Linked DNA regions of Canis lupus familiaris. The protein of the gene in region 1 interacts with the protein of each later gene in a pairwise test. Links are inferred from orthologs where the notes say so. Each region holds a gene or a part of one and is shown in the gene's direction. Other genes may lie near its edges.

Region 1 (4,392 bases):
ACCTTATTTCATCAAGGTTTCTAATATACATTCTCCAATCTAATTAGATCTGTTTTCCTGATATGCCATTCTCTCAACCACTCACTGTATTTATATCTATAGTCACTACCACACAGTTTTAGCATGTTTAATCTTTGAGTGTTAGAGCTGCTTGTGTCATATATGTCTGCTAGTCTAATCTCATTTTATAGGCTGGAGAGCTTAATAACTTGCTTGAAGTCACACACAGACTTCAAGCAGATATGAGGTTTGAAAACACAGAATCCAATTCTTTTTTTTTTATGGTGAAAATAGTTGTCATTTAATTTAGCTTATGATTTAAAAAGGTAAATACCATTGGTTATTTTACATATATAATCTGGTCTTGGAAAATTTTACACGAAAAGGAGAATCTTCCAATATAAAATTAAAATGTAATCTTGAGCAGTAAAAACAATATGGTTGTTCTGCAGCACCAAAGAAGACAAAACTCCAGATCCAAAAGCCTCAGAGAACTTTGACAAATATGACCCATGAGAGATGTAGGATGACCTAGAATCCAAGTCTTTTAAAACAATCTAAAACGATTGTTTTTCAAGCAATTACAACGCCACAGACACAGTTCTGAGCATTTTACACTGTATTCTCATACAAGTCCTAAGGAGTCTTTATCACTATTATTTTCATTTTCTATTTCACAAATGAGGAAGTGCCCAATTCAGAGAGCACTTGCCTTCTTTTAATAATTAAATATAATCTCGAATTTTTCTAAGTGCATGAATCTTCTCCACATCTAGGCAAGTAAGTTCCACAGGGGCAGCGATCACGTCTTTTGTAGCTGCATTCACATTGGTCAGTAAATAAACATATGGGTAAAAGGATTGGCGTGCGCTGTATTTGGAGAATTTGCTCCAATCTTGACACTTTAAGTACAAAGGATCTGAGTAACGACAACAACTCAAATCCTTACAATAAGTGGATGCAGAAGCGTCCTGATCTCACAGTCCTGACGCTCATTAAACCCCAGTTGCCTGGTCCGGCATGTTGCAATTGACAAAGCTGAACCTCAAAAGCCAGATTTGGGTTCTGTCCTTAAACTCCAGGGAGGAGCCAACTCTGAAGGTCCGCGCAGGATCCGAGCCCCTTAAGTGGGTGGTTACTGTTCCTTCGGACCCGGGTTTGGTTTGTTTTTTGCTGACATTTCGGCTAGGCTGCGTCTGGGTGGCGAGACCCCAAGTCTCCGTCAGGTGGCCCAGGTGGGAGCGGGGGTCCAGCCCCACCCCTCTTCGGGTGTGGGCGGAACTCTGGACGCACTCCGCCCCGCACAAAGATGGCGCAGGGTCCGCGCTGGGCCAATAGGGAGTGGCGTTGCTCCCGGTTGCCGGGGTAACAGCCAATGGGCAGCGGGAATTGCGCCCGGTGCGGCCGCCAGGGATGGCGGCGTCAAGTGGGGCAGGCGCTGGTGGAGGTGGCGGAGAGGCTGGTGGCCGCGGCGAGCCCGGCGGAGCTGTGGTCGCGGCCGCTGGAGCCCCGCGTCGGGGCGTGACCGTCATCCCGAAAGGCGGAGCTCAGGTTGGCCGGCAGCGCAGGAGGGAGGGCGCCCGGAGAGTGCGGTCGGTGAGGAAGACTGAGGACCAGGTCCCCGTCCCAAGATGACTGGGGATCGTGACTCCGTCCAGGATGCGCTGACCAGAGGGCGGGGCCGGTGGGGTGCGGCCCCCGGGCCTCGGGTCTCTGCAGCTGGGGCCGAGGCCGGGGAGAGCCCGCCGTACCCGGCCTGGCTAGCGGGTGGCTGGGGGCTGCGTCCCGCGCGGATGGCAGACCCGCGTGAGCAGACACCTGGCCGGGCGCTGGAGCAGAGCTCGGGCGGAGAGCAGGATCAGTGTTGGGATGCGAGAACGGGATGGGAGGAAATGCTGTTAGTTGGGTCTCGGGCTTTGTTTGGCCTGGGCCCGCCCCTCACACTCCCACACCATGAACCTGATGCCTCAATTAGTGGGTGGTGGCACCCCTGCTGGGTCGTATCTCCAAACTGCTTAGGTATCCGGAGGAGTAACTCGACTTTATTAGAACCCCGTCCGGGCATTTCCTTTTTCATGAAATAGGATAATATCATGGCAGTCCCCATCACCCTCAAGTCTTTTGTAATTTTTTTTTTTTTTTAATTCATGAGAGACAGAGACACAGAGACATAGGCAGAGGGAGAAGAAGGCTCCCTGCGGGGATCCCCTTGCGGGACTCGATTCCAGGACCCCGAGATCACGACCTGAGCCGAAGGCAGACGCTCAACCACTGAGCCACCCAGCCGCTCCTCCTTTGTAAATTTTTAATCTTTTTTCTGGTGTCAGAATTTTCTTCCCACTTTCTCCAATCTAATTGTCCCACAGTCTTCCTAAGTAAGACCCTTATCTATATAAGACTGATGAATCACTGACCTCTGCCTCTGAAACCAGTAATACATTAGATGTTAATTAATTGAATTTAAATAAAATAAACAAAAAAGACCTATATCTAGTAGCAATACTTTTTTTAAAAAAAACTTTTCGAGTTCAAGGAAGATTTACAGTAAAAAGGCTTGTAGTGTTATAAGAAAAGCAGTTATTCCAAGCTAAAAAAAAAAATATTTTTTTAAAAAGAATGTGTGACTTTTCTTCTAGGTTTCTTAGGTTCTAAGTCTAATTTTTGTTCATCAAAGTCTTCCTTTTCTTCTCTTTAGGATTCTAAAAGCCTAAGACTGCTTTCTTTGTAATTAAGAGAACTTTGACAAGAAGGTCATACTCTGGGGAGGCTTTGGAGGAACAATGTAAAGGTATATGTGGGAAAAGCTGGCTGCCTCAAAACAATATTCTTAAAGTGAAAATCTGTTCCTCTTTATGTTAGCTTTGTTGTTGTTGTTGTTGTTTTTAATCCTCTGAATTTGGACACAAAATCCTGTGAATGCATAAATATTTTTTAACAAGTTTGATTTCTAAACTCTGAAAAAAAAAGACAAATGGAATTGAAACAAAAGTTAACATTACTGTCTCCAAGTTCTATTTGGAAATGTCTGGGTCAGGAGAAAATAAAGAGAACTGGGATGTTCAGTTCTCTTTGTGCAGACAAATAGTATACTTATTTCACGAACAAAATAGTCATTTTCTTTTAGATAAATGTTTGGATTGATCCTTTGCAACCTATCTATCAAAAGAGCAGAAAGGGTGGGTATCTGCTTAGAAGCATGATTCTCTTTTGGTTTTGTGACTTGATTCCATATATATAGCTGAAGCCTAAACTTCATCAACACTGGCTATACCATATTAAACTAATTTATCTCAATGAGCATGATTTCTTTTGGGGTCATTGGCTTTGTAGCTGACTATTACATAGCATGGCTAATTATAGAAGTCGTAAATGAACATCCCAACACTGTCCCAGGCTGTGACGGTATCAATTATTTGGACATAGGTAGAAGTTTCTAGTCCAATGTGTTCACCAATGGCCTGAGACCCACAGAGTCCATGTGTATCCTTTTATTTATTTTTTTAAACATTTTTAAAGATTATTTATTTATTTATTCATAGAGATGCAGAGAGAGAGAGAGGCAGAGACACAGGCAGAGGGAGAAGCAGGCTCCATGCAAAGAGCCTGAGGTGGGACTCAATCCAGGGTCTCCAGGATCACGCCCTGGGCTGCAGGCGGCGCTAAACCGCTGTGCCACCAGGGCTGCCCCATGTGTATCCTTTTAGTTAGCATTTCCGATTGTGTTCTTGGGAATGGACATCATTTTGACCAGCAGCCGTTGAAGGGACTTTTCTCTGTCTCCCTAGATAAAAAAAGGAATGGGAACATCCTTTTGAAAAACAAATGAGAGAGGATGGTGGCAGGGTTAGGTGTAGAGATGATGTTCCAGTTACTATAGGCATATAACATATTACCCCAACCTTAACTTAAAACAACATTATGATGTTTGCAAATTTTGTGAGTCAGGAATTTGTAGAGGGCATCATGGAGATGACTACACTCTGCTGCATGATACTTTAGATGGGATGCCCACACAGTGGCTAGGAGCTAGAATCATCTGAAGGCTCCTTTGCCACAGCTGGTGCCTAGGCTGGGCTGATTCAAGGATGAGAACTGCCAACTGGAGCACCAACACGTGGCTCTTTGTGGCTCAGCTTCCGCACAGCATGGCAACCTCAGAGGATAGACTTCTTCTAGGGTGGCTCAGGTCTCCCAAGTGCAAGTGTACCAGTGGGCAAGAGGGAAGATGCATCACCTTTTCTGGCCTGACCTCAGAACATGCCATCTCTTCCACCATGTTCTATTGGTTGAAGCAATCACAAGCCTGCGCAGATTCAAAGAAGAGGAGTTAGAGTCCCCCTTTTGATGGAGCAGTGGCAAGGTCAAATTCTAGAACACGTAATACAGGGGATA
Region 2 (4,455 bases), on another chromosome or scaffold:
CGAAATTAGAAAAAGGGCGTAGCCAGGTATCCTACGCAAGCAATCTCCCGTCACCACTTCATTACACTGTCCTCTAACACCTTGAGCATCGGATCCGGAAAAGAAATCTAACTTGCACGTCACTGAATTTACCTATAAAGTTTACCAAGGATCCGACGGGCATGATGGGCACAAAACGCCTCTCGACTACCTGCTTAACCGCTCCACAAACAGGCAGAATGTTTCTAGTTTTGTGGAAAAAAAAAAAAATAAATCACCTGACGCCACCTCTGAATCCTCCTCCCGATATCCTTACCCTGTACTGTGTCCTCTACTGTCCCCTAACTGCTTAAGCATTTACTAACTTCGCTTTAGTATGCCTCCCTGCAAGAGCATCACCTGAGCGCAGGGAACTTCGGTCTTGGTCATCCCTGACCTCTCAGCACTTAAAATCAGCGCCTCGAAGAAAATATATGTACAACGAGTATTGGTCCCTTTAAACATCTAGGTGAAGACCCGCAGGGGAACAAAAGCAGCAACTTCTTCGGTTTAGAGAGAAAGCCAGGACACCGGGCTCCTCACATCTCTCCGTCAACTCGGGACTAGCCTTGGGTGGGGACACGGACCAGACCCAAACCAGGCCAGTGCTATCTATCGCTCTTTCGGCTCAAAGAGCCATTCACTCGGCCTTCCAGCAGTCCTTCCGTGGAAACCATGAGCCTGCGGACTCGGGGGCTTAGAGGCCGGGAGGGAAGTGAGCGCAAGCCCCGACCTGCCGCTACCTTGAGGATCTCGCGACCACCCACGGCCAGCGCCACATGCCGGCTCTGCAGGCCGCACTGGATGTCCTGGGCGCGAGTGCCAGGCGGCACCTGAACTTCAATAAACACCTCCTCCAAGGTCTGGTACCACTGGCCCCACGGCGTCCCGCACGGAACCACCCCACTGCGCTCCTCAAACGGGGCCGACATACTCCGGGAGCCTTCCAGCTGCAGCCGCACGGAGCGAGACGAGCGCACGCGCGAGCTCCCCGCGCTCAGGCCACGCCCCGACTCTCCGCTCAGGTCACTGCACATGCGCAGGGACGTCAGCCGAGGTCTCCGCGAGCTCCTTTCTCCTTTCCAGTGGCCGTTTACGACGCTGGCAGTGCCCAGGTTGAAAGAACCGAAATCCGGGGAAGCTGACACCCAAGGGACGGTGGGAGAAAGTTGGAACTAGCGAAACTAGAACTCACTGCCCTGCCGCCTTTATGACGCCAGAAGCGGGCCTGCCAACTTCTCAGACGTGAAATGCGCTTGCGCAAAGGAGGCGAGCGTGTAAGTTACAATTGAGTAACGCCAGGAACGATTGGACACGGGTTGGGCAATAATAGTCTCCTATTGGCTGGTGACCTAAACTCACAGGAGCCCTGATTGGATGCGACCAGGCCAGGTGCGCATGCTCTTTAGTCGTTCGCGTCCTGGATTGGTGCGCCCAAAACTTTGGTTTTCAAATCTGCTGACGTTAGAGGTGGGCCGTGGGTAAGCCGGGAGGTTTGAATTTGGAGCGATTAGGCCGAAATAAGCAGCCAGGAGTTGCGGAGGAGAGCTAGTGACCTTCGGTTTGTGGAGCTGGTCATCAACATGTCTTTTCCTAAGGCGCCCCTGAAACGATTCAATGACCCTTCCGGTGCGTACGGGGAAAGGAGTTGGGGGTCGGGATATGTTGTCACGCACCTTGCCGCTCTCGAGTCCCTTCCTCGGAGGCTAATCGGAGATTTTAGGGCTGCGATGGGTCTCATTCAATTGATTATTTTCCTAGAATCTATACTAAGCATTTACTTCCCTAGCACCATTCAGATAAGGGTAGAGCAGTGAATGAAGCGAAGTCTCTGCCCCATCGAGTTCACTACATTCAGCTGGAGAACACAGCCAATGAACGAGTGCTGTGGGGAAACTAAGGCAGAGAGAAGGAAGTGGGGATAAGGAAACTATTGGTAGCTATTTGATGGTCAAGTCCGGAAGGCCCCACTGATTAAAAAAAAAAAAAAATTGACCAAGTTTTTCGTATGAACTTGTGAATTTCTTTTGGATATTCCATTCAGGAATAAAAGAAGGATAATTGGTAAAGGCAATTTATGGGTAAAATTATGGTAGTAGCATACTTACTGAAAACATAATGAAGTAATGACACGTAGAACCCCAATCACCGTATTAAGTATTTACATTGATTATTCTTTTTTAATTACCCAACATCCCTGAGAGGTAATCCTATTATTATTTTATTGATAAAAAGATTGAGACATAGATTTGCTCAGTGTTACACAACCAAGTTAGCAGAACTGGGACATAAAATCAGGCCTTCGTGAACCCATCCTGTGAACTTAGTCGCTGTGATGCATAAGCACACTAACCAGGAAGACGCAGATATGGTTAGTGAGGCACACTCATCATTCAGTGGATGCAAACTGTATGCAGGGACTGTGCTAAGGTCTTTTCTGTTCTACCTGGTTAACTCTTTCCAAGTGAGAAAGGATTGATATTGTCCTCGTTTTACATATGAGGAAACAGAGGGGTTTTGTAACTTCTGAGCAGCCAGTAATTGGTAGGGCTGAACATCAAAGCCCATGATTTATTCATTTTAATATACTCTTTATAAAAGGCACTTGTTGGCATCTTTAACTTGTCAGCCAACATGCAAATAGAAATAAGAATCACTCTGCTCACAAAGGAAGGCCAAGTGAGCAAATGGGTCAGCACAAGCTTCTTCCTTTTTTTTTTTTTTTTTTTTTTTTACAAGCTTATTTTCTTAATTGAAAGATCGGGAATATACTGTTTCCTGGATATTCAAAGAATCTTCTCTAAATTCTCTCAGCAGTATGTCTTTTAAGGAGAATTCTGTTTTCTTTATAGTAGATTAAACTGACTTTACCAACTCACAATTTCAGAAGTAATAATTATTACTTTATTTGATGCTCGAGTGACACTGTAGTGATTTCTCCTATTACTCCAGTAATCCCAACAGCTATGAGGTGGATACTTTTTTTAATTTCTGTTTCATAAGGAAAATTAGCCTCAAATAAAAATAAATTGCCAGGGGTCTTAAAGCTAGATTAGAAAAGGAGAGAGTATAATGTTCTTACCATCTTCTGACTAAAAAGTACTTGGCACATAGTAATGTCTATTGGTTAGCATTTAAAGCTGGATTTGAACCCTGATTGAGGAATTATAAAACTCTATCCCCATTCCCACATTCCCAGTGACTTTCTATGTTTTCTTCACCGCACTGTCAAACTCAACCCTGAGCTAAATACTGGGGTTATGAACATGATCTAGAGAGACCTAACCACAAGCAGTTTTGTCTAACATGGAATATGGATAATTACAAAACTGACAGGTTCTCTGATAAGAACACTACTCACAAGCTACTACAAAGAGAGGTTTTCAACCTAATTTGAGGACTCAGAGAAAACTGGAAAAGGCTGAGTAAGAATTAGTCAGGCAAAATGGAAGATGGACTGTCCATTCTGGGTAGAAGAAATAGGAAATAAAGAAATCTGATAGGTAGCTCAGTCAACTAAGCATCTGCCTTCAGCTCAGGTCATGACCTCGGTGTCCCGGGATCAAACCCCGCATTAGGCTACCTGCTAAGTAAGCAGTCTGCTTCTCCCTCTGCACCTCCATTCTGCTTGTGCTCTCGCTCAGTCTATCTCTCAAATAAATAAAATCCTTAAAAAACTATTTTAAAAAGATCCAAAAGTTTGAAGCGTTTAATGAAATGCATAGACTGTTTTGTTTGTTTAAAATTATTAACTACCTGTTAGCTACCAGTCATTGTTGATCAAGAAAGAAGTTGCAGAAAACTTGCGATAACTCCCAGGACATCTCATTCCATTCTTCTGATGTTCCGTCTCCCCAGATTTCTAACAAGTCATATGTATGTGTGATATAGTACATTTAAGTGTTCGTAAGGAAAAGATCTGGAGCATGAAAATAACATGTACTAACTACACTCTCACAAAGAGTTAATAGATTAATACAGGCTGGATTTCTACCTAGTTCTTGAATCTAAATCCTAAATCTAACAATCAAGTTTGATTGTTTAGGGAAGTTTTTGTTAAGTATGGTTTTAATTGTTCTCAACTCATGATGCTGCTCAGTCACTGTCCACCATCCCATCTTTTGCTTGCCCATATTTCCTTTTCAGAGTGTACACATAGTCATGAACCAGAACATAAGAATTCAACATCATTTTATTTTCTGGCCACTCTGACAAGTCTAAACTGGTGCTTCTCATGCTTTTCCATAGAAGCATTCCTAAAAGCAGAGAACTAAGTGCCTGTCTGGCTTGGTTGGTAGAACATGTGACTCTTGATCTCAGGATTGTGAGGTCAACCCCCATGTTAGGCCTAGAGTTTACCTTTAAATAATAATAATTAAAAGCAGAGAGCAAAGAATAACCATAGGCTCTGCATGCCCTCATCCCCTCTTCCCCAAA
Region 3 (4,694 bases), on another chromosome or scaffold:
ATCATAAATAAAAAAAAAAAAAAAAAAAAAAAAAAAAAAAAAAAAAAAAAAACTGGGTAAACGACTTTCTTAAAATTATGCAAAGGGGAAAATGCTGGTCTCCTGACTTCACTGCATTCCCTCTACAGTATAGCTGCTATTATTTTTCAAGCAACTCCTCCAGTTGAGTCAAATGTCATTTCAAGGGGCAAGAAATTACTTAAGTGACACAGGGATATTTTTCAGGGAATGCTTACACTTGCAGGAGTCTCAACCATCCATCCCATTCCCAACACCCTGTTGCACACAGCACTACTGCTACAGCAGCGACTCGAGTTTTTCTCCCAAGTGGTCTTCTTGTACCCCTTGGGTCCTCTTCCCTCTCATCTTCTTTTTTTTGTTTGTTTGTTTTTGTTTTTAAGCCCCTACCTTTCCCCCCACAACATACAAAACAAAAACTCGTTCAAATCATTTTAATAACCTCGATCTGATCCAAGATGTGAAACGATTCTGATTAGTTCCCTTAAGAGGGATGCTACCATGATTGCTTCACAGGAGCGGGCTCGAAGGCAACGAGGACACCGGATTCCCAAGCGCAAGGGTGCCGAGGAGCCTTCACGGCTCACAGTTTGAAGAGGCTGGTTTCGGAAAGTCCCTGAGGAGTAGCAGGAGGGACACGAGAGCTAAGGGGCCTCAGAGCACGGGGCGCGGCTGCTGGGTCATCAGCACCTTGAAGCGTTTCTTGACGGTGATTCGGTGACGGGAGTACTTGTCATCTGGGGAGAAGCGAGCGGGATGCGCTGAACAGGTCTGCTGTCCCATAGGGTCAAGCTTCTGCCCGAAGAAAAAAGAAAATTTCAGTACAGGAATGGCGGGAAAACCCGCCCGAGAGCGTCGACAGGGAGGCGGAGGTAGGGGACGGGAGGAAGCTGCGCAGAGACGGGTGAACCAGAGGCAGGGGCCGGGCGCCCACACCGACAGCCGCACCCTCCTTCCAGCGCTCGAGGTTTCGGGCTTCCCAGGCCCCTCACCCCCGGCAACCGGGGGCGTCTCGCCGCTCCTCCAGCCTGCTGGTCCACAGGACTATTTACCACCTGCTTTCTCGTCTCACCTTAAGCGTATAGACCCGGTCTCCCTGCTCGTTGAGGTAATACTGGAGAAACATGACCACGCGGCACACGCGACTCCCAACGCCGTCCGGCTCCCGCGGAGAGGGTGTCACGTGTTCGTCAAAGTCCTTCCGGTAAGGCCGGTAGTCTCTCTCGAGGCATGCCGGGAAGTGTAGTCCATTCCGGCCTTTCTCCCGCTGACCAGGAGGGGGCGAAGGAGTGCGGGATTTGGCCCAGTTGCAACCCAGTTGCAACCTTGCAGGCGTCGGCTTCCAGTTGCAATTTTGCGGGCGCTCTGAGACACGTGGAGTGTGCCCACTGTGTGCAAGACGCTGCTAGGAGCTAGAGGGGGGTAGGAATGAATATGGCTTGAACATCGATGCACAGAGTCCTGCCTCTACTCGCGATGCGCACCCATTTCACAGGCAGTGGGTTTCTGGGGCCTGTAGAAACAAAGGCTCCGGGATTCCGAGCCCCTTTATCTTAGGGTAGAAAGAAGAAAGTTTTCTTCCCTCCCCTCTTTTCCATCCGGTTCCCCCGTCCTATTTTAAAGTATTGGCGGTAAAGAGTGCATGATGGGTATTCAATATTAGGCACAGCGAAGAGGGCGTGAAGTTATTTTATGAAACTGGTGAAGTATATTTCAGTGGTCGAACCGAGATTTAAACTCAGGTCTCTTTGCCACAAATCCAGCGCTCTTTCTTATAGTGGTGAGTAACAATAATAGCATAATACGATGCACCTCCTAGGGTTATTTCGAATTTTTAAAAGAACGTAGAAATTCTCTTTATAGGACTCTGATTTCTTTAGGACAATGGGAGCCCAGTTATCATTACAAAGATTGTTGTTGCAGTGTTATTTACAATGGTAAAAGCATTGGAACATTTGTTAATTTTAATTTTGTTAATTTTGATTTTCTCGATTAATTTTATAACCGAGAAAAGCCTGAAAGGGTTTTTCTTTTCTTTCTTTCTTCCTTCCTTCCTTCCTTCCTTCTTTTCTTTTCTTTTCTTTTCTTTTTCTTTTTTTAGAATATAGTCTGTATTTATTTGTAGTTGCATAAAATATCTCTGTAAGGATTCACAGGAAACATATTATTGGTTTTCTCTGGAATAAAGAACTTGGTTCCAAAAAGAAAGAGGGAGGGAGAGAGAGAAGGAGAGAGAGAGATAGAGAGAAATCAGTTCCAGAGGAAAGAAGTGGGAAGGACACTTGCTGTATATTCCATTTTGCATAGTTTGACTTTAGAACCATGCTGATTTATTTCCCATTTCAAAAACTAAAATCATTTAACAGAACTTTTAAACAACAAAATAATTTAACAAAAAAAGACTTTTTGGTTTTGGAATTTCAGGCTGAATGGCAGTTTTGGATAGAGTGGTGCTTTTCAGCCAAGGGTAAGCTGAACCTTCTGTGGACTGCAGGGCTGATGGTCGTGGACTGTCAGGGACTGCAGGACAGCTTTGTAAGGACATGTGCCACAGCCAGATGCCCAGGGTTTCTTTTTTTTCTTTTTTTAATTCTTATTTATTTATGAGAGTCACACAGAGAGAGAGAGAGAGAGAGAGAGAGGCAGAGACACAGGCAGAGGGAGATGCAGGCTCCATGCACCGGAAGCCCAACGTGGGATTCGATCCCGGGTCTCCAGGATCACGCCCTGGGCCAAAGGCAGGCGCCAAACCACTGCACCACCCAGGGATCCCTGCCCAGGGTTTCTGAGATAATCCTAGTTTCAAACATTCCATTTATTTGATCCTTAGATACACAGACGATATGCTCTGAATTTGGTTTAGAAAATATAGGCAAAAAAAAAAAAAGAAAGAAAATATAGGCAATGTTGAATTTAGTTAAGGGTCTGCCACAACCTATTCATAGGAAGTCGGGTACAGAACTGGGTAGGATTGAAAGGCACAAAACTGTATATATTGGTGAAGAAACGTATAGGTAATCCAGATGTAAAGCTGTATTGTTGGGAATCAAAAAGAATTTATAAATTGCCCAAAAAAAACACAATGAACAATCAAGTTGCTCTAGTCTGGCTTGGGGGGCACTCCTGGTTACCACCTGCGTCCCAGAGCCCTTTGGAACCTCTCTACCTGTGCCCCCCTCCCCTCCCCCACTGCAGAATGCCTTGAGTCCTAGATTCTAATTCCATTCTGATCTGGTCTTTATCTTCCCTTCCTTGGATCCCTGTATCTACTGGGGTCAGGTTGCCCTCTGGGTCCTGGACCCGACTGTCTCATTCTGGAGGCTTCCGGACAGCCACAGTTAGTGTCCACACCTGAGAGGATGGCTTCGGATGGAGGTAAGTCTGCCAGCAGTGGGGAAGGTCCTGACGATCTGCTCATGTCCTTGGGGATTCAGATTTGACACTTTACCCAGGGACCAGCTTTTGGGGCTGACCTCGAGGGATGTAAGAGCGCTAGAGCCCTGCAAAGCCCTCTGTCTTGGGGAGGCTGGGGAAGGAGACTGTGCCATTACCATGGAGATTAGGGGATGAAGAGGGCCTCCCTGGAGGCAGATCGAAGCCCCTCAGAGGAAGGTGCTAGAGTGTAGGAAAGGAATGGCAGTTAGAAACTTGTTTCTTGGAAGAGGAATCTCTCCAACGTGTGTTTGTGTGGCAGGGGCAGGGCCGTGTGCGGCACAAGTACTGCAGGGAGGGTTCAAGGGGAAGGTCCAAATCCCCATTTCTTTGGGCAACTGGAGCCTGCTCTAGAATGATGCCCTGAGAGCACTGGGCTGGAGCCAGTCTCGATCTTGTCGAGTGGGGTGGGTGGAGATGTTAGCTGCAAAACTGTTCCCCGGGTCATCTGTTGCCTCATCTGTAGAGCAATGTCCTCCCAAAAGTGAGACTGGAAGGTACCAGATGGGCCTCTGCTCAGAGTCTCGTGGCTCCTTTTCACCCTGGTGATGGCTCTCTTGCAGTTGTGGGGCAGCTTCCCTTGCCCTCCCAGGCCTGGAGACCTAGATATCTCCAACCACAGTGAGAGCTGGGGCTTCCCTGAGATGCTCTTGGCTTTTCAGGCCTTTAGTCCTGTTTTGCATTGTGGAGAACTCCCAGGCTTCTGCTCTGTGATCAGGGTGATGAGTTGTCCCCTTCATGGTCAGGGAGTGGATGCTCAGTGTGGTTAGTTTGTCCGGGGAATGTTCTTTAGTAGAGGGGCAGAACACTTGTATGAAATTGGGCAAATCACTTGTAACATGGTGAAAAATCTCAAGATTCATGTCCTGAGGAATCACGTACACATCTTATGTATGTGCCCTTGGGTTCTTAGGCCAGAGTCCACGTGGGTCCCCAGCACACACTGTGGTTAGGACTTCACTGTCCCTCCTTCACAGTGGACCCTAAATTTCTGCTCTTAGGCGTCCGAGCAGAAGGACTGCAGACAGCCTGCATCACCAGACTGTAACATGTCCTGCAGCTGCTTAGAGCTCTGGAAACCTCCCTTCCTAGACCGCCCTCACAGCGCTTGTTTCCTGGTCCTTATCTCTAGTCATTCCTGGCTGTTGTGTGACAAAATTTCTGGAAACCAAACTTCTAATCCACCCACTCTGTCCAGGAAACAGTGCCTGTGTGAGCCGTGGCGGGGACCTCAGAGCCGTCAG
Region 4 (4,365 bases), on another chromosome or scaffold:
ATATCCTTCAATGACCTTGATCTGCCTCCCCAAGACAGAAGAGCCAACACAAAGAACTACCATTGGAGCATGGATAAACTCCAGGGCAATTTTATAGCATCCAGACTTCTCACATCTAGGAGACAGGAATTGACCTCTGTACCCAGGCTCTTCCTGTGTTTCCTCTTCTCTTCTGGGGAGGGATGAAGGAGCTCTTTATAAAAAGTATATTCTCTTGTGCATATACTCTTGTCACAGCTGAAAAGGATGGAAAGAAGTTGGCATGATTATTCCCATTTTGTAGGTGAGGACTCTGAGGCTCCAAGAGGACTACTAACTTATCTGCTCAGGATCATGCAGATTTGCGGGGGGGGTGGGGGGGGTCTGACTCTGCAAAATGCAAAGCTACTGATTCCAAATTGCTGTTCTTTCCACCAAACTGAACTGTGTTCATGTCGTTCTGCTGGATGAACTACTCACCGAGATGGCTATCCATTTATAATCACTTCGGATCCCAGGGCTACCATAACGGAGCTCATGAAGCAGCCTTACAAATGTGAGTCTCACATGCCAGGTTGTTGAAAGAACTGTGCAGCTTTTTGGCACCCCCACCAAGCCCTGAAGTAAGGGTAACCTGAGTGGTATCCACCGTCGTCCTAGTGGCAACCACATCTATCTTGTAAAGAGAAGTAGCAAAGACTCAGGAGGCCACTCAAAAAACAACTTTGGTTGGACCTGTATTTCCAAGTAAGAGAGAAAATAATCATACAAGAAAGCAGTTTACATGATGAGCAAAGCATCTTCCAGGCAACACATAGCCTCAAAAGTGTTCTTTCCTCCACACTAAGCCCCGAGGGTCTGAGAGTGCTCCCCAACGCAGCAGCATGGGGCATTATATCTTAAGAGGTTAGGGACGCGTTTGGACTGAGACTAGACCCAAGCTCAAGCCTCAGCTCTGCCATGTCCTAAGTATTTGAGCTGAGGCAAAATAGCTCATCCTTCAGCCTCTGTTTCATCATCTATAAAATGGGAGAATAATTGTACCTGTGGCAAAGGACTGTCGTGACAGTTAGATGCGCCGATGCATACAGGCAGCACGCTAGGTATGCAAAGTGCTTGCTTACAGACATAGTAAGCGATTCATAAAATCAGTTTTTAGTGCTCTTTGCCAGAGTCTTCCTTCTACTGAGCTCCTGCTGTTCCCCCTGAAATGCTCTCTATTAGGGACTCTGTTCAGAGGGCAGCTCATCAGCAGACCTTCCCTGGCCACCGCACTCAGAGCAGCTCGTATCCTCCCTCCTTGCTTTAGGCTTTCCATGGCACAGATCACTCCCACATGCCATATCATATATTCGTATGTTTACTTGTTTATTGTCTGTTTCCATTAGAACGCCAGCCCCATGATGATGGCACCTGTATTGGGTTCACTCCTGAAGTCTCAGTGCCTAGAGCAGGGTCTGCCGTGTGGAGGGGACCAAGACCTATGTACGTGATGAAGGCAGGTGAGTAGAACACATCTCTTCTGAATAGATTGTGATTCCATACTGTGGTGCAACCTAAAACCAGATGCAGGAGCAGTTGTATATCTGGGACAAGCCTCCTGCAGAGTGCCTGAGAAGGCCTGAGCCACTGAGGTGCTGAGCTGTGCTCTAGTGAGCCCTGCAGCCCTGGAGTGTAAAGCAATCACCGTGCCAGGCTGCAGGGGATCGGAACCGGCTCAGCCATTTTCTTTGCTCCGAAAGTTATAGCCTGAAGTGACTGCCAGGGGAGCTCCCTTCCCTGGTATGCTTCTCTTCCTCTTCTTCCTCCTCCTCCTCCTCCTCCTCCTCCTCCTCCTCCTCCTCCTCCTCCTCCATGCCCTCCCTGGGGATTCATGACTGGGAGTGCAACTTCCTCAGGGACAAAAAAGCATGTCTTAAAAGTAACCTGTGGCAATGGATAGTTCACTGCTTTTAAACTCACAAATTATTTTTTCACTGCAGTACACAGCTCAGATCATGATTTTCACTAAGTAAAAGCAAAAATGGGTTTTGCTCTTGGCTCTCCCTGGTTGCCGCTGAGGTGCAGCCACCTGTTTTCCTGATGCTAGGGCCCCAGGGATGGCACCTAGTGGGGAGAGGTAAGGGGGCCACGTGGACAAAGAGCTGCCTCCTTAATGCTGCTGCCGCCTGGGGAAGGCTGGAGTAATGAGGGTCAGTGGGCATTAAACATTCCGGCATTGCCTCTCCAAGGTTTCACGTTTCCCATGAAGGTCCAGGTAGAGAGTGCATTGGACGTGATAAGGCACCTCAGAACTACTAGTGGAGATTGATTTTTTGAGACTCCTCAAAAGGGCATGGAGTTTTTCCTAAAGTTCAAGGCACTTTCAGAGATTGTTGATAAGCAGATGTGTGCTTCCCAAAGCCTGCATAGAGCAGAGGCATCAAGCTAGAGGAAAGAATTAGATAAAATAACAAGTAGCAAAAAGGAGAGCATGCTTCATGAACTCTAGCTTGATCTTACTAGCAGATTCTAGAAGTTGCCTTTGGTCCTTATCTGTGAATTGTTGTCTATGACGTAGACACTGTTTTTCCGTGTTAATATATATGCTAATGTAACTATATACAATAACTCCTGGATAGGGCACGTAAATGAATGCAGTCATTAAGAACTATATTACCTCGGGCACCTGGGTGATGTAGTTGTTAAGGGTCCCACTTTTCATTTCGGCTCAGGTTGTGATCTTAGGGTTGTGGGATCAAGCCCTCTGTTGGGTTCCATACTCAGCGTGGAGTCTGCTTGAGACTCTCTCTTCCTCTGCCTCTGTCCTCCCCACTGTTCTCTCTCTTTCTCTAAAATAAATAAATAAATCTTTTTTTTTTTTTTTTAATGAACTAGATTACCCCAAATCATGCATTTGGGTGCAGGTAAAACCCAAATTATCATGATGATGTAAGGTAGGCCCAGAAATGTGCAGTACAAGTGTTTTTCCTTAGCCATTTCATGGAAAATCACAAGTCTGTGGCCCACGGGACAAATCTAGCTGGATGTCCTGGGTGATGTTCAGGTCTCTGGCTGTGGATGGGCTGCTGCTTCTTTTTCTTCTATTGATTTATTGTAGCCCCTAACTTGGAGTGTTTCTTAAATAAACATAGCTTTTATTGAAGAAAACATCTATCTGGGATTTCCTGGGCAATTGTGCCAGAAGAGTGGGCTTTTTCTGGATGACTATACTCTCTTATGTATGGACAAATACAGCTATGGACAAGTATAGCTCCCACCATGGAAAATTAGGATACTGGAACTATTGTCCTAAGCCCTGGAGCTTGAAGAGCCCGATTCATGCCTCAGATGCTGGTCCTCACTAGACTGGGTAGGCAGACATCTGTGACCACCAGGACTGAAGCCTAGCAAGCAGATGGAAGAGTGTATGGAAGATCTACACATTATGACTTTCATTCCCAAACAACTGCTGGTGGGGGGAAGCTTTTCTTCCCACAGAGGAAATAGCAGCTCCTACTTTGTGCCCCCACTGAATCCAATTGTTACTTCTGACATGTCACCTGCAACATATTATACTGATTTCCACCACCCCTGCCACCTATACTGCCCTCCATCTAATGTCTTCTTGAGGACCCAAGGGTTCCCTGAGCCTGGCACAGTGCCTGGAACATAGTGCTCAATAAAAGGTGGTTCACTTATTTGACTGAGGACCCTTCTCCCTGAAGGAGGCAGGGAGTATTTATATGCACAGGGATAGCCCCTGCCTTACAGTAAAATACAGACAAATGCATGATGGAAGGCCAGGTGTGTAAAGAACTCTGACATGGTAGCTTAGATCCAGAATCCTTACAGAAATCTCTTTATCCAACCCCAAGGGTCAGGATGGCTCAAGTAGCTGGGATTCAGTTGAGCCAGAATGATGGAGTGTTTGTTCCTCTTCTGCATGGTCCTCCATAGAATCCTTGGAGACAGAAACTTAGTTCTGCGTCTCAGCCCATTGATAGCAAGTTCACCTTTGACAGTGATTTAAAATCCCTCAAGACTCAGATTATGTCCAGCTGCTAACCCTGTGGCAATGCTCCTGGTGTGGAAAGAAGTGCACCCAGTGTTGCAGGTTCGTGGCTTCCTGGGGCTTCCTTGATTAAGGAATGTATGCTAATGGTGGCAAAGAAAGGAATAGTCTTGCAGAAGAAAGACAGAGTGCCTTGGAGCCTGAGTAGCAACCAAGTTTCTTTTATTATGGGACTTCTTGTCCGGTCAGCTTCAGGACCTGTGAAGGCTGTTACTTTGTGAGATCAGAGGCTCTGCATTTGAACTAAGGAGGATCCTAGGAGGAGGAGAAGCCTGGCCCAGAGGCACTGAGTGCAAGGCATAGTGCTCCAAAAACCAGGCCTTTCCTAACCT
Region 5 (3,937 bases), on another chromosome or scaffold:
CTTGAGCAAATCACCTTGCCTCTCTGGTCCTCTTTCCTCATCTGTATCACCAGGGCAGAGAAACAGGTGTTCTGAGTCACTTCCAGTTGTAAATATGTCAGTTCACCAGGGCTGCCCCGCCCCCACTTAAGCAGCCTTGTGACCCTGCTGTCACATGCCAGGCCAGCTGCCTACAGCTTTGTGGTTCTGTTTTTGCACCTGTCTCAGAATTGGGGAAAAGGAGGATGGTGGTGGTGGTGGGGAACCCAAGGAGGACCACTGGAGCCAGTTTTCATTGAATAAGAGCCATTCTAAAGGCAGGGGAAAATAAATAAATAAATAAAGGCAGGGGAATTAACCTGACCATATTTGCAGCTTACAGGAGACATATGAGGCCAAAAGGAATGAGTTCCTAGGGGAGCTCCAGAAAAAAGAAGAGGAGATGAGACAGATGTTCGTCCAGAGAGTCAAAGAGAAAGAAGCTGAACTTAAAGAGGCAGAGAAAGAGGTAAATATGACCCTGACTGTCCAACAGGCAGGAAGACGGGGCTGAGCTTGGGCAGAGCCCCGCAGCTTCCAGGCAGGAATGGGGCAAGGCATCTGCAGCCCTGCCTTGGCTGGTACCAAGGGAAGGCCGCAGCAAGATCTGTGTCTTCTTCATCCCTCATTCCCCAAGGCCAGGCGGTTACTTTATTCTCTAGAGCCACCCTCTCCCAAATGGTAGCCATGCTACTTATATTTAAATGAATTTAAATTAAATAAAATGTAAAACTCAGTCCCCCAGTCCCATTAGCCACATGCTAAGTTGTCCTGCAACTACTGTGTGTCCTATTGGACAGCACAGATATAGAACATTTTCATCACCGTAGAAAGTTCTGTTGGGCAATACTGCTCAAGAGTCAAGACCAGAGTCCGTGGCATGGATATCGGATTTTTTTTTTTCAGTTTCCCTTTCCAAAAGAAAATGCCACCCAGTACGTTTGGAGGAGAGGTGAGAGGATCTCAAAGATAAATGAATGAAAAGCCAATAGACAGAAACTAGGTTAGAGCAACTGACCACCACCGTACCCCAAGGGACTAGTAAAAAGCTGGTCTAGACAGCAGGCCTGTCATCCACCACCCCTTACTAAGTCCCAAATACCTGTAAGACCTGGAGACCTGACCTCCTACATGGTACGCTTTGAGTGCTACGGAATCCTAAATTCTCTCCAGAATCCTCAAAAGAAATACTCAGTATTTGTACTGTTCTCCTTTGGGTGTCTGGTTCTATTCAGGGCTAGCTGAGTCTCCCCTTGGTCAAAGCTGAGGTCTCTGCCCTCATTCCATTTTATAAAACTCTTTTATCTCCTTCCATGTCTGAGGACAAGTATTTCCTTTGACCAGCTTTGGCATTGCTGAGGTTTTCTCTGCAACCCATGGTGATCCTCCTTGACCAGAGGGGGTAAGGAAAGGCAGGGGCCCCACTCACATTGGGCGATCTCGCTATATAATCCTCTAAAGAATGGATTAACCTTGGGCAAATTCCTTAACTTCTCTGACCTCCTGTTTCCTCATAAAACACAGAGAATCACAGAATATTTCTTGATGCTAATTATTAATTACTATTCATTAATAATAGTTCTGTGACTACATTCAAGAGCAGAAATGTGGAGGTGAAGTGACAGGAGAAGGGACTTCCCCAGAACATGGTGCCTTGGTGCCATCGGGGCAGTCCCTGGCAGAAATGTCTCCTCAGGTCCCCCAGTCCTGCAGGATGGCAGCCCTGCCGGTCCCCACTTAACCCTGGGCTTGGCTCCTCAAGGAGCTGTTCCCAGGGGACACTGCTCAGACTCCCTGTGCTCCCCTGCCAGCTGCATGAGAAGTTTGACCGCCTGAAGAAACTACACCAGGACGAGAAGAAGAAGCTGGAGGATAAGAAGAAATCCCTGGACGATGAAGTGAACGCCTTCAAACAGAGAAAGACAGCAGCTGAGCTGCTCCAGTCCCAGGGCTCGCAGGCTGGAGGCTCACAGACTCTGAAAAGGGACAAAGAAAAGAAAAAGTAAGTGGTAGGCTGCTCTGGGCCTGTGACTCCTTCCTACTCCTGCTCATCCCCTCAGTGCAGGGCCTGGAGACTCCGGTGGAGGCCTCATGCTGAGGGGTAGTGGCCAGAGGTGACCTGTAGACTGACAAATGCATTTCGGTCCCTGTAACTGGTCTTTGTGTCCCCTGAGTTGGGGGAGGTGAGAATAGGGGAGGGTTGTAGTCCCCAGGGGCACAGCCCCTCTGCTTTGCTTTTGGGAAAGCCCTGTAAGCTCTAGGTAGGAGGAGAGGGAGGGATAGAAGACAGGCAAATGGAATGTGGAATGTGGGAGGGGAGCAAGCAAGGAGGAAACCATGAAATCTGTAGTGTTGTAAGAAAGAGGTGAATGAAAAGAGGGACCCTCCCCCCCAGAGGGTAGAGGAGAGAGGGCACCTCAAGCGGAAGCCTCTGGGCACCCTCTTCCTCCCCAAGAGGTTGGTGCTGATCTGGCTCACAGGCCGCCTTGTTTGTCCTGTGTTTGAGGGGTTCACCTCCCCATGCCTGAAGCCCCCCAGCCCCATTTTCTCACTTAGCTGCAGCCCAGTCCAGGTCTCCCACCCTATGCCATCCCTCTCTCTTGGCTGCTTCATTGCTCCTGGCCTGAGGTGCTGAGAGCTTACTGGGGAGCCCCCAGATGGTAGTAGACTCCACGTGCCCCATCCTTAAGCTGGGCAGTGATGGCACAGTCTGTCCCTCTATCTCCCCTGGTGTGTGGTAAGGCAGGAGAGCAGGGGCTCCTGCTTACATGTGGGTCCATAACCCTGAGCTGACTGCAGGCTTTGCTGGCTGGAGCTCCCCATCCATCGTCCCGGAACCAGAGGAGAGGAAAGGATTTCTGGTGGGACCTGGGCAGCGCCAGGAAACTATGCCGGGGTCCCTTATGCTGGAGTTGCTTGTGCTGCGAGACTTGGGGGGCCCTCACATGGAGTGTTGGGCCATGTCCTTACCCAAAGGGCCTGAGGATCCAAAAAGTGCCCGTGGTCGATACCTTTTGTTCTCAGCAACCTGTCCCTGGCTCAGCTGCTGGATATCTGCCAGAAGGAGGGAAACATCCTCCTTTCCTCTGGGCCTGGCTGATCACTTAGGAATGAGACAGTGACTTCTGTACAACAGTACGACAGTTAATATTTGAAGGCACTCGATTTTGCGATCCATTTATTCAAAAGTGTAATTTGAACACGTTCACCCACTAGTCCACAGATTTTTGTTACCGAGTCACCACACTCTGTGTCAGATTCACTCACTCATGACCTTGATTTGGTGTTACCTGATGGATAAAGTTTAACTAGTCAGAAAAAAAAGCCTCTTTGGACATACTGTATATTAACTGATTGGGCCTTGTGTGTTAGTTGCACCTGCAGGAAAGGGTTCCTATTTTTAAGATCAGAAAAACCTAAATTTGTCTCCTCGTTCTAACCTGTTGCCTTCTTGGCCTGTGGTATTTATTAACTCAATCCCTGGGGCAGCCTCACAGCCTGCTTGCAGGAATTAGGAGATTCCTTTGTTTGAACCCCACTGACACTAAACTATAAATATTCCCTACTTAGATGTTCAGTGGAAGTTCCTCCCAGACCAGGCTCTCTCTTAGTTGTCTCACATGAACTGATCTCCCCTCTCCCACTCCAGGCAGAAGACCCTACATAGGGAGACATGTCTCTCCAGTCTCCAGGAATATTTGGGATTGGTGACAGCACCTTTCCCAACTCTGAGATGGGTGAAGGCCTTGCTGGCATGTGGCACCTCATATTAGTGACCAGGTTCTGACAAAATAGACTGTCCTCTTCCTTCCTTCCAGATATATAAATGGCCCCAGGCCTGGGCTGCTTCTGTAATTCCATGAAAAGTTGGCTAACTTCTGGAAAACCTTTCTTTACATCTGTGCCACTCAGGGCCCAT
Region 6 (3,937 bases), on another chromosome or scaffold:
TGTGTGGTCTGGGTTACCTCTGGGCTAACCTAGCATCGCTCACTGGTCTAAGGTGACTCCGGCCCCAAAGCAGTTACCCTCTGGGTGTCTTGATTGCCCAGGAAGCTGGCCACTGGGAGCCTTGCCAGCTCCCCTTCTGGCTTTCTGCGCACCCACGGGTGGCTCAGATGTGTGCTCTTCCTTCCCCAGTTTCTGACATGGGACGGTCAGAAGGCAAGTGCTGTGTTGCGTGGTGTGGGTTGGAGAATACCCTTCCTGCCACCCCCGCAGCCCCAGCCCAGCCCCAGCTCCATGCTGCTCGCTGGGAAAGCGCAGTGGGGTAGATAAAATACTAGATGGCCAGGCTGGCCTTGCTCAGCACTGAGGTTCTTGTGCTGTGGTTTTTTCATCGACACCTGTGTTCCTCCAGGATTTGCTTGTCCTTTTAATGCTGTCTGCTTAGCTGAGTCTTTGTGGTTTCTTTCACCTTGACCCTTTCTTTCCCCCACATAAGCCGTCCGCCTTCTCCTCCCTTTCCCACCACTTCTCCCCAGAGAGTAATTTGTTTTGTACGCCGAACCCTGTCTGAGAAGCCGCACTCGGTCCTGCCCGTCTGCTCTGCTGCGTCTCCCCTCTGCTCTTGATTTCAGGGAGTGGGTTCTGGGCCGTGTGGCAGGGTTTCCAAGGGCGGTTGGCAGGCAGGCGAGGCCCTAAGTGCATTCCCTTGGGAAGCCTCCTGTCTGGGCTGCGGGTCCGGACACTTGAACTTCTCCCTGGCATTGGCCACCTTCCTGTCTGCAGACTACACTTTGCCTACCTGCCAGTGCCCCCCCCCTCATACCCCACCCCTGCCCTGGGGGAAGATGTCAAGTTTTTTTCCTTGAATTTAATGGAAATTGTATTTGCTAAGATTCACTGTTGGTAAAATAGCTCTCAGACCTTTGAATCTGACTTACTGTTTTCTCTCAACATCATCTTGTGTGTTACGTTTTTCAGATAGCAGATAATTTGGTAAACAGGAATTATTTTCAGTGTAATCGCACTTTCAAATAAATCTTATATTTTCTTGTGCCTCCGAAAATTAGTCCTGTAGCGATGCCTGTTATAAAGTCATTGTGACACTCTGAGGATAGCACGTCGCATCATAAGCACTATATGTGTGTTGCTGTTAGTGAATTTTGAAGTTGTTATTGCGTGCATAGATCACCTAGACTCGGTCACTGTCTCTTGCACCCCACCCCCTCATTGATCCATCTAGAACAAGGGACCGCACACCATCTTTTGGGTATTTGGTAAATAGTTTACTGGACTTTGTAGATAGCATCCCTCTTCCTTCTAGAAATTTCTTAAAAGATACTTCTTAGTCCTGCTCTCCTCTGATGCTTAAGCAAAATGGGAACTTAGTATCTGTAGGCAGCTTAATCAGTCGTGGGAACCGCAACTCAATGGCAATAGTGCCGGCTGTCCGTGTTTTCCAACGTCACTACCTCATTTACTCCTTATACTATTTATGGATGCTGTTATGTAATATGGGGAATCTCAGAGACTTAATGCCACTTGTGATCATGGTGTCCGTTCCATTCTGTCTGGGGCAGTGGGAGTGAGAGTCAGGGCTGCCTCTGCACTGGACCCTGGAGCCCCTACAGTGCCCCTCGCTCTCTTGTGGCGCCCCTGCCCCTTTCCTCTCTCATTCCCTCATCGGTAAGAAGAAGGGTTTGGACCAGATTATGTGGAGCTCGAGAGTTTTAAAAACCCACACTGACTCTTCTTGTTGCTTTGGAAGGAAGGGCTAGACCAGTACCATCCAATAAAAATAGAATGTAAGCCACTTACGTAATTTTAAAATCACCAGTAGCTACATTACAAGAAAAGGTGAAATTAATTTTAATAATAAAGTTTTATTTAGCCCAATAAATCTGACATTGTTTCAACATATAATCAGCATAAAAAAAGATTATCTTACTTTTTTTTGTTTGTTCTGCTACATCTTTGAAATCCAGAGTGTACTTTTATACTTCCAGCACATCTTCATTTGGGCTGGCCACACTTCCAATCCTCAGTAGCCATGTGACTGTTGGCTGCCATCTGGGGCGGCGTGGGTCTTTCTGGAACACCTGGAGTCTCATGACCCGCTCGTGTCCAGAGGAGCCTCGGCCTACATCCTCAGCCAGCCTTTTCATTCTGTGGCTGGAATTTAGAAAGCAGGGACCCACAGGAGATCACCCGAACTTGGGTCTTTTGTAAGACTTGATTTTCTCAAATAACGTTCCCCCCTCGGTCTGAAAGTGACTCTGTTGATGCTTTAAGACGCGTTCTGCGTGAAGTTTCGAGAAGTCCCCCCAGAGGGTGTTCGGGAGGCCTGGCTGCTTCTGAGCGACTGCAGGCAAACACTGAGAGGATGCAGTTTTCCATGATGTGAGGGAACAGTATCAGCTTAACCTTCCATTACCCAGAGCCAGGGTTGGGAGGGGAAGGGAATTTCTTATGGGTATGGAAAATTAAGAAATAAATCAAGCAATAAATCAAGACTTTGTCTTTGTCTTTTCATTTAGTGGAATAGAAGATGAACTCAACTGAATTCAGTGAAGATGTAGAAGAAGGTAAAAAAAAAAGCTTCTTTTTAAAAAGTAATTTTAATTTAATATTTTTTATTAGGTCATACACGATATGGTTAAAAAATATAAAAAGTTACGGAGTGAAAAATCAATAGAAAGCCTCTTCTCACGCTTGCTTCCCATCCCCCTCTGCCCGTACTTACCTGCTGTAAATGTCTTATGTATCTTTCCAGAGTTACTTTTTTTAAAGTATCATTTAAAAGATAGTATTTGTTTCTTTCTCTCCATCTCCTGTCTTTCCCCCAAAAAAGACCTTAAAACCAGTTTTGACCAAAAAGTTCTTGCAGGGTCGTTTTACTGTCTAGCACTAACACGGTCAGATAAACATCGCTAGGTTGGAAAGTGCAGTTGTAATGTGACTAGACTCTATTTTCTGAGTGATAGTGTCACAGGGCAGCCCGCAAGTACCCCCCGCTCCGGGAACCCTGCTAATCTCCGAGCGGCCCAGTGGTCTTTCCCACTGAGCCCTATTTCTTCTCTGCCACAGTTCTAAAAAATAACACTGTGAAAGTGGAGACAGAGGCCGAAGATGCTGCCCTGGACTGCTCAGTGAGTTCCAGGTCTTCCGAGAAGCACCCTCTGGACAGCGTCTTCACTGCCCTCCAGGATTCCAGCAAGCGAAAGCAGCCGGGTGGCGATGGCCAGCCTGACTCTGTCCCCAGCGTGAAGAGGCGGCGGCTGATTCCCGAGGTGAGGGCCCAGCCCCTTCCGCCGTTTGCTTGGGCTCTGACCCTCAGATGCGCTCTCTCTCTCTCTCTCTCTACTTGTGGGCATCTAGGCGACTGCTAAACCCTTGGGCACGAGAAAGCTTTCATTTCAGCTGTCCCATCCTTGGCTTAAATTTCTAGAAGGTGTCTTTTCTAGCTAGAATTCTTATATATGTCTGGATTCATTATGGGACTAGGGGAGTCTGCACAGTGCAACCTGCTTTTGAGTTCTTTGTTTTGCTTTGCTCCACTTGCTAGGAAGGACTGTTAAGAAAGGCCTACTGCATTTTACACAGTACACACTGTACACAGATTCCTGGAAAAGTTGAGGGTTGGGAGGTCTTTTCCTGAATCAAGCCCATCTTTTATATTAGGAGAACTTGTTCAGTGAATCTTTTTGTAAACAGAATTCTTTTTTTTTTCTTTAAAGATTTTATTTATTTATTCATGAGAAACAGAGAGAGAGAGAGAGAGGCAGAGACACAGGCAGAGGAAGAAGCAGGCTGCATGCATGGAGCCCCAGGTCTCCAGGATCACGCCCCGGACTGAAGGCGGTGCTAAACCGCTGAGCCACCCGGGCTGCCCAGCAGAATTCTTTTGTAACATACCTGTTACTCCCTAGCCTATACTTTTATG
Region 7 (3,937 bases), on another chromosome or scaffold:
CGAGGCTAACCAATCAGCCAAATTTAAAGCTGCACACATCATGTGATCTCAGCTATTTATAGGGAAAAGTGCATAGAATAAAGATGTTATGAGTAAAACGTTTTATAAAACTCATAATCATTCCTTCAATATATATTACTTTTCTCTTTTATCTTCACAGTATCATTTCTGAGTACACTAAAATTCATACAGTTCTTTGTGGAGTAAGCAATAAGATATTCTCACCTCTGTGAGGTTTTAGTTCTGAGGTTGGGTTTTTCAATGTAAGAATGTAATTTTCAGTAGGGACATTAGATCGTTTTCTTTAAAGAGGAGAAATTACACTGTTGGTCTAAATGGTGGAAGGGAGCACTTGAGGTTTCACACACACACACCCCATCTTCTTGTCCCTGCAGTCCCAAGCAGCGGCACCAACGGAGTCAGTATCCCAGCAGACTGCACGGGGGCCATGACAGCAACATCACCTGACAACCCTGCACGGAGAAGTCCCTCTGACGAGGTGCGAGCACTTGAGGTGTTTCTGTGCTGGGCAGGGAGCACCTGAAACTTCTCGGAGCTTTACTGAGTGTGTAGACAAGTTACCTGCTCAGAGCAGTGCCTGGGTAGGCCTGTGTTAAGGCTTTCTGTATTTGCTCAGTGGTGTGCATGTGCAACTGCAGCTGATGTCCATAGTTGCTAGAATGCCAAGGATGGTCTGTCCGCAGTTCCAGAGTTCTGTCTGGGTTCCAGAGGCCAGACCCAGCACCTCCCTGTACAAGTGGCCAGCTGGCCTCTGGGCCTGGCCTCTGGGGGGGCGGGGGTCCTTGGAGCCACAGGAATGGCTTTCATTGATGAGATAGTGTGCCCTTTTACATGGAAAGCTGTCTCCCCTCCCTGTTTCCACACCTGAACAACACGGGGGTTCGCATAGGTGGGCCCATTCTAGCTGAAGAAATCAGCTCAGAACATTGATTGATTGATTGATTGATTGATTGATTGATAGGCAGACACAGCAAAGTCTGGGGTTCTGGGTTTCTATAGGCCAAGAGCATGTGTTTTCTAGTGGTATTGCCCGGCAACTGAAAAATGAGGAGCATGTACCAAAGAGCCTGCATTTGCGGGTGGCAGAGGTGAATCTGAAATGCAAGTTGCAGCACCACACCAAGGCTTCCATTCACAAAGCCAGATTGCATGTGTGTGTTTATTTCGACTGGGCTGTTTTGGCAGCTGAGCTGCTGCCTGAGTTCTGGCCCCTCCACCTCCCCCACACACCCCCCATAGTTGCTGGAGAGCAAATGGTGAAATCGATCGTCTACAATTCATTTTTAAAACATCCCTGAGCAACCCCCGCTCCTTCAGACCACAATTAGCAGAATTAAAATTAGGAGCCATCTTTGCAACCTGCTGCTGCTTGGAGACTTGGATAGCTAGGGCGGCTAGCGCAGCAGGGCTGTGAGCTGGAGGGAGTCTGGGAAGCTGCCTGGCCCGCCCACCTCCGGCGTCCCCGGGGAGTCAAGGACAGGCCACACCCGGGCGGCAGCAGCCCCCCGGGGACCTGAGCCAGAGGAGACCCCTTGAGCAGACGGAACTGCGAGAGATGGCCCACCTTGCTTCTTGGGGCTAACCTGTCACTTCTTTTCAGTTGTTGTCTTGTTTTTGTTTCAAACTAGGAGAAAGAGCCCCAGAAAAATGAGTCTAGCGATACTTGTGAGGAGGAGAACTGTGAGAAAAGAGAGCAAGTTGCGCAGCAGGCGTTTGTGTTCGGGCAGAACCTGAGGGACCGAGTCAAGGTGTGTGGATCAGAGGCCCGGATGGGTGCTCGCACTCCGGGGTCGGTCTCTTCTGCCTCCTCCAGTTCAACCACAGGACCTCCGCTTCTCCCTTCAGGGGGCGGGAGGTGGAGGTGGCATAGCCGCAGGCTTGTCCCTGACTGCTGGCATGGCCTCCCTGCTGCACTGCTCAGCTCCCGGCGTGCTCCCTGGAGGCCTCCCTTGTTCTCCCAGTCGCCGGGGATGGGACGAAACCGAGCGTGCCTCTCCTTGGAAACCAACATTTTCGTAGCAAAGGGGACAGCACCATCCGATGCTTTCGACGTCACTGGAGAGCTTGTCATTGCCTAACTTGGGAGCTGCTCTGTCTTGGCACAAAGCAACGTTTAGACAAGGTTCATTGTCAGCTGTTGGAGGGCTGGGTATCCTAGGGTACCAGGCAGCATCCCTGGCCCTCCCCCTCCGGGTGCCAGGAGTATGCCCCCACCCCCTGACGCGGCAACCCAAAGTGTCCCCTCATGAGGCTGAGCATTCCCTTTGGGACCAAGTCACCCCTAATTGAGAATCATTACCTTATTTTTTTTAAGGTAGGGCAGATAGAAAAATAACTATTCTGTCCCATACTAAGCAATAGCATCTGTCCCCTCCTGGCTGCCCCCAAGGCCTATTGGTCTAGTCTGGGGACTTTGAGTCAGGGGTAGAGAGCATCTGGCAGGGGCTCTGGGCTCGGGACCCTGTGTGCTGTCACTCTGAGAAGCCAGAATTAGGCAACACTACCTTTCCAGCCACCAGGATAGAGTGTCCCTCTGTGCCGTTTCCAGCAGCTCATCTGGCAGGAGTTCCTTTAGAAGCCTGAGAGACAACATGAGTGGCTGTGTCTGGGGACGTTTGTGGTTGTCACGGCTAGGGTGTAGGTACCACTGCCATCCAGTGGGTGGGAGCAGGGGATGCTGCCCAATACCCCACGGTGTCCAGGGCGGCTTCCCCACAGAGAAAGATCCAGCCCCAATGTCAGTGATGCTGAGAAGGAGAAATCCTGAAATAAAGGAATAAAAAAGTCTCTCCAGCACGTAGAAAACATCAGGTTGTGCCATCTGCCTTCTCCTTTGGTGTTCGCTGTCCAACAGAAACACAAATCCCTAGGGATGAAAAGTAAGCATTGCTGTTGCGTGACTTTAGCCAAAGTAATGAGTCCCTTGGAGGCTGCTCACTCCAGGGAGGAGGAAGCCGGAGAAGGAAGGGCCTTGAGATCCACCTATGCTAGGGGGCAGGGGCCTGGCCTAAACCGCCAGGTCAAGTCTGTTCCTAGAGTCCAGGGGGATGGCTGCCTTGAAATTGGGGCTGAGGCCCTGTCTTACGGAGGCTCAGGGCTCACGTGATCTGTAGTATCACAGTTACATGCCAGCTTCTCAATGGGGGCGATTTCTTGGCACCCTGAACCCCTGCTTTCTCACTCAGTAGGTCGAGGTTGATAATACCTCTCAGGGTTCCTGGGAGTATCACATTCGATGATAGATTCAACAGAGCTGGCACAGCAGTTAGCAAGCATTAAAAAAAAGCCCTCAAGAAACGATGTTTTTATTATATTTATAATAAACCCCTTAAAATGCCAGATTTGGAAGCATTCTGTGGCCTCTCATTACAAGCATTGGTGAAAAGGGGAACAAGATGTCAATTGAGGGATTTATTTTTTTAAACAAGGTAGAAAAAGTTCCCTGATGCCTTACAAACTCTTTTTCTATCTTAACCATTAAAAGCAGAAATGGCAAAGTTGATTACAGCGCGTGCCCCCCCCCCGGTGTACGCACGTGCACATGCACACACACACACGAGCTGTGCCATAGGCCCTGGGGTATGCAGACAGGCTGAGCTGTTGAGGTCCCGAACAGGCGTTGTCTGGGCAGTAAGTGTCGCCTCTCTGTTTCCCAGTTAACAAATGAGAACACTGAAGTAGCTGACATGGAGAATGCCGGACATCCCAGTTCAGAAACGCCAACTGCGACCAACTATTTCCTTCAGTATATCAGCTCCAGGTGTGTGTCTTGGGCCGGGTGGCCAGCCTCAGAGTGGCCCAGGTCATCCCCTAGCCTGGGGCCCAGGGTGAGGAGGCAGCACCTGGACCAGGAACCTGGTCCTTCTGGAGGGCAGGATGGAGGTGGGAGTGGGGGAAGCAGATTTCACCAGAATCC

Evidence for each region.
Region 2: the proteins of MORN4 (region 1) and HMMR interact in binary tests that used the Homo sapiens proteins (3 or more experiments, as listed by UniProt). The two-hybrid records come from large-scale screens. The link is inferred for Canis lupus familiaris from reciprocal best matches to the Homo sapiens genes MORN4 and HMMR.
Region 3: the proteins of MORN4 (region 1) and NUTM1 interact in binary tests that used the Homo sapiens proteins (3 or more experiments, as listed by UniProt). The two-hybrid records come from large-scale screens. The link is inferred for Canis lupus familiaris from reciprocal best matches to the Homo sapiens genes MORN4 and NUTM1.
Region 4: the proteins of MORN4 (region 1) and SSX2IP interact in binary tests that used the Homo sapiens proteins (3 or more experiments, as listed by UniProt). The two-hybrid records come from large-scale screens. The link is inferred for Canis lupus familiaris from reciprocal best matches to the Homo sapiens genes MORN4 and SSX2IP.
Region 5: the proteins of MORN4 (region 1) and SEPTIN6 interact in binary tests that used the Homo sapiens proteins (3 or more experiments, as listed by UniProt). The two-hybrid records come from large-scale screens. The link is inferred for Canis lupus familiaris from reciprocal best matches to the Homo sapiens genes MORN4 and SEPTIN6.
Region 6: the proteins of MORN4 (region 1) and BEND3 interact in binary tests that used the Homo sapiens proteins (3 or more experiments, as listed by UniProt). The two-hybrid records come from large-scale screens. The link is inferred for Canis lupus familiaris from reciprocal best matches to the Homo sapiens genes MORN4 and BEND3.
Region 7: the proteins of MORN4 (region 1) and RANBP3 interact in a two-hybrid assay, tested with the Homo sapiens proteins (2 studies listed by BioGRID). The two-hybrid records come from large-scale screens. The link is inferred for Canis lupus familiaris from reciprocal best matches to the Homo sapiens genes MORN4 and RANBP3.

What each region holds. Positions count from the first base shown.
Region 1 is NC_049249.1:11,069,072-11,073,463, reverse strand, and holds the start of MORN4 (MORN repeat-containing protein 4), read left to right. Parts: upstream 1-1,384; 5' UTR 1,385-1,551; intron 1,552-1,577; exon of another isoform or gene 1,578-1,596; intron 1,597-2,695; exon of another isoform or gene 2,696-2,788; intron 2,789-4,392. UniProt on the Homo sapiens protein: Plays a role in promoting axonal degeneration following neuronal injury by toxic insult or trauma.
Region 2 is NC_049225.1:48,676,203-48,680,657, reverse strand, and holds the start of HMMR (hyaluronan mediated motility receptor), read left to right. Parts: upstream 1-1,443; 5' UTR 1,444-1,601; coding exon 1,602-1,647; intron 1,648-4,455. Other genes in the region: NUDCD2 (nudC domain-containing protein 2), read right to left, coding at 762-1,055. UniProt on the Homo sapiens protein: Receptor for hyaluronic acid (HA). Involved in cell motility. When hyaluronan binds to HMMR, the phosphorylation of a number of proteins, including PTK2/FAK1 occurs.
Region 3 is NC_049251.1:1,034,364-1,039,057, reverse strand, and holds the start of NUTM1 (NUT family member 1), read left to right. Parts: upstream 1-1,601; 5' UTR 1,602-1,710; coding exon 1,711-1,798; intron 1,799-3,297; coding exon 3,298-3,393; intron 3,394-4,694. Other genes in the region: NOP10 (H/ACA ribonucleoprotein complex subunit 3), read right to left, coding at 673-813, 1,091-1,144. UniProt on the Homo sapiens protein: Plays a role in the regulation of proliferation. Regulates TERT expression by modulating SP1 binding to TERT promoter binding sites.
Region 4 is NC_049227.1:63,688,301-63,692,665, forward strand, and holds the start of SSX2IP (afadin- and alpha-actinin-binding protein), read left to right. Parts: upstream 1-1,392; 5' UTR 1,393-1,481; intron 1,482-4,365. UniProt on the Homo sapiens protein: Belongs to an adhesion system, which plays a role in the organization of homotypic, interneuronal and heterotypic cell-cell adherens junctions (AJs).
Region 5 is NC_049260.1:92,335,061-92,338,997, reverse strand, and holds part of SEPTIN6 (septin-6), read left to right. Parts: intron 1-354; coding exon 355-487; intron 488-1,829; coding exon 1,830-2,020; intron 2,021-3,937. UniProt on the Homo sapiens protein: Filament-forming cytoskeletal GTPase. Required for normal organization of the actin cytoskeleton. Involved in cytokinesis. May play a role in HCV RNA replication.
Region 6 is NC_049233.1:64,643,211-64,647,147, reverse strand, and holds part of BEND3 (BEN domain-containing protein 3), read left to right. Parts: intron 1-2,531; 5' UTR 2,532-2,542; coding exon 2,543-2,579; intron 2,580-3,081; coding exon 3,082-3,284; intron 3,285-3,937. UniProt on the Homo sapiens protein: Transcriptional repressor which associates with the NoRC (nucleolar remodeling complex) complex and plays a key role in repressing rDNA transcription.
Region 7 is NC_049241.1:54,561,160-54,565,096, forward strand, and holds part of RANBP3 (ran-binding protein 3), read left to right. Parts: intron 1-395; coding exon 396-499; intron 500-1,649; coding exon 1,650-1,769; intron 1,770-3,677; coding exon 3,678-3,781; intron 3,782-3,937. UniProt on the Homo sapiens protein: Acts as a cofactor for XPO1/CRM1-mediated nuclear export, perhaps as export complex scaffolding protein. Bound to XPO1/CRM1, stabilizes the XPO1/CRM1-cargo interaction. In the absence of Ran-bound GTP prevents binding of XPO1/CRM1 to the nuclear pore complex.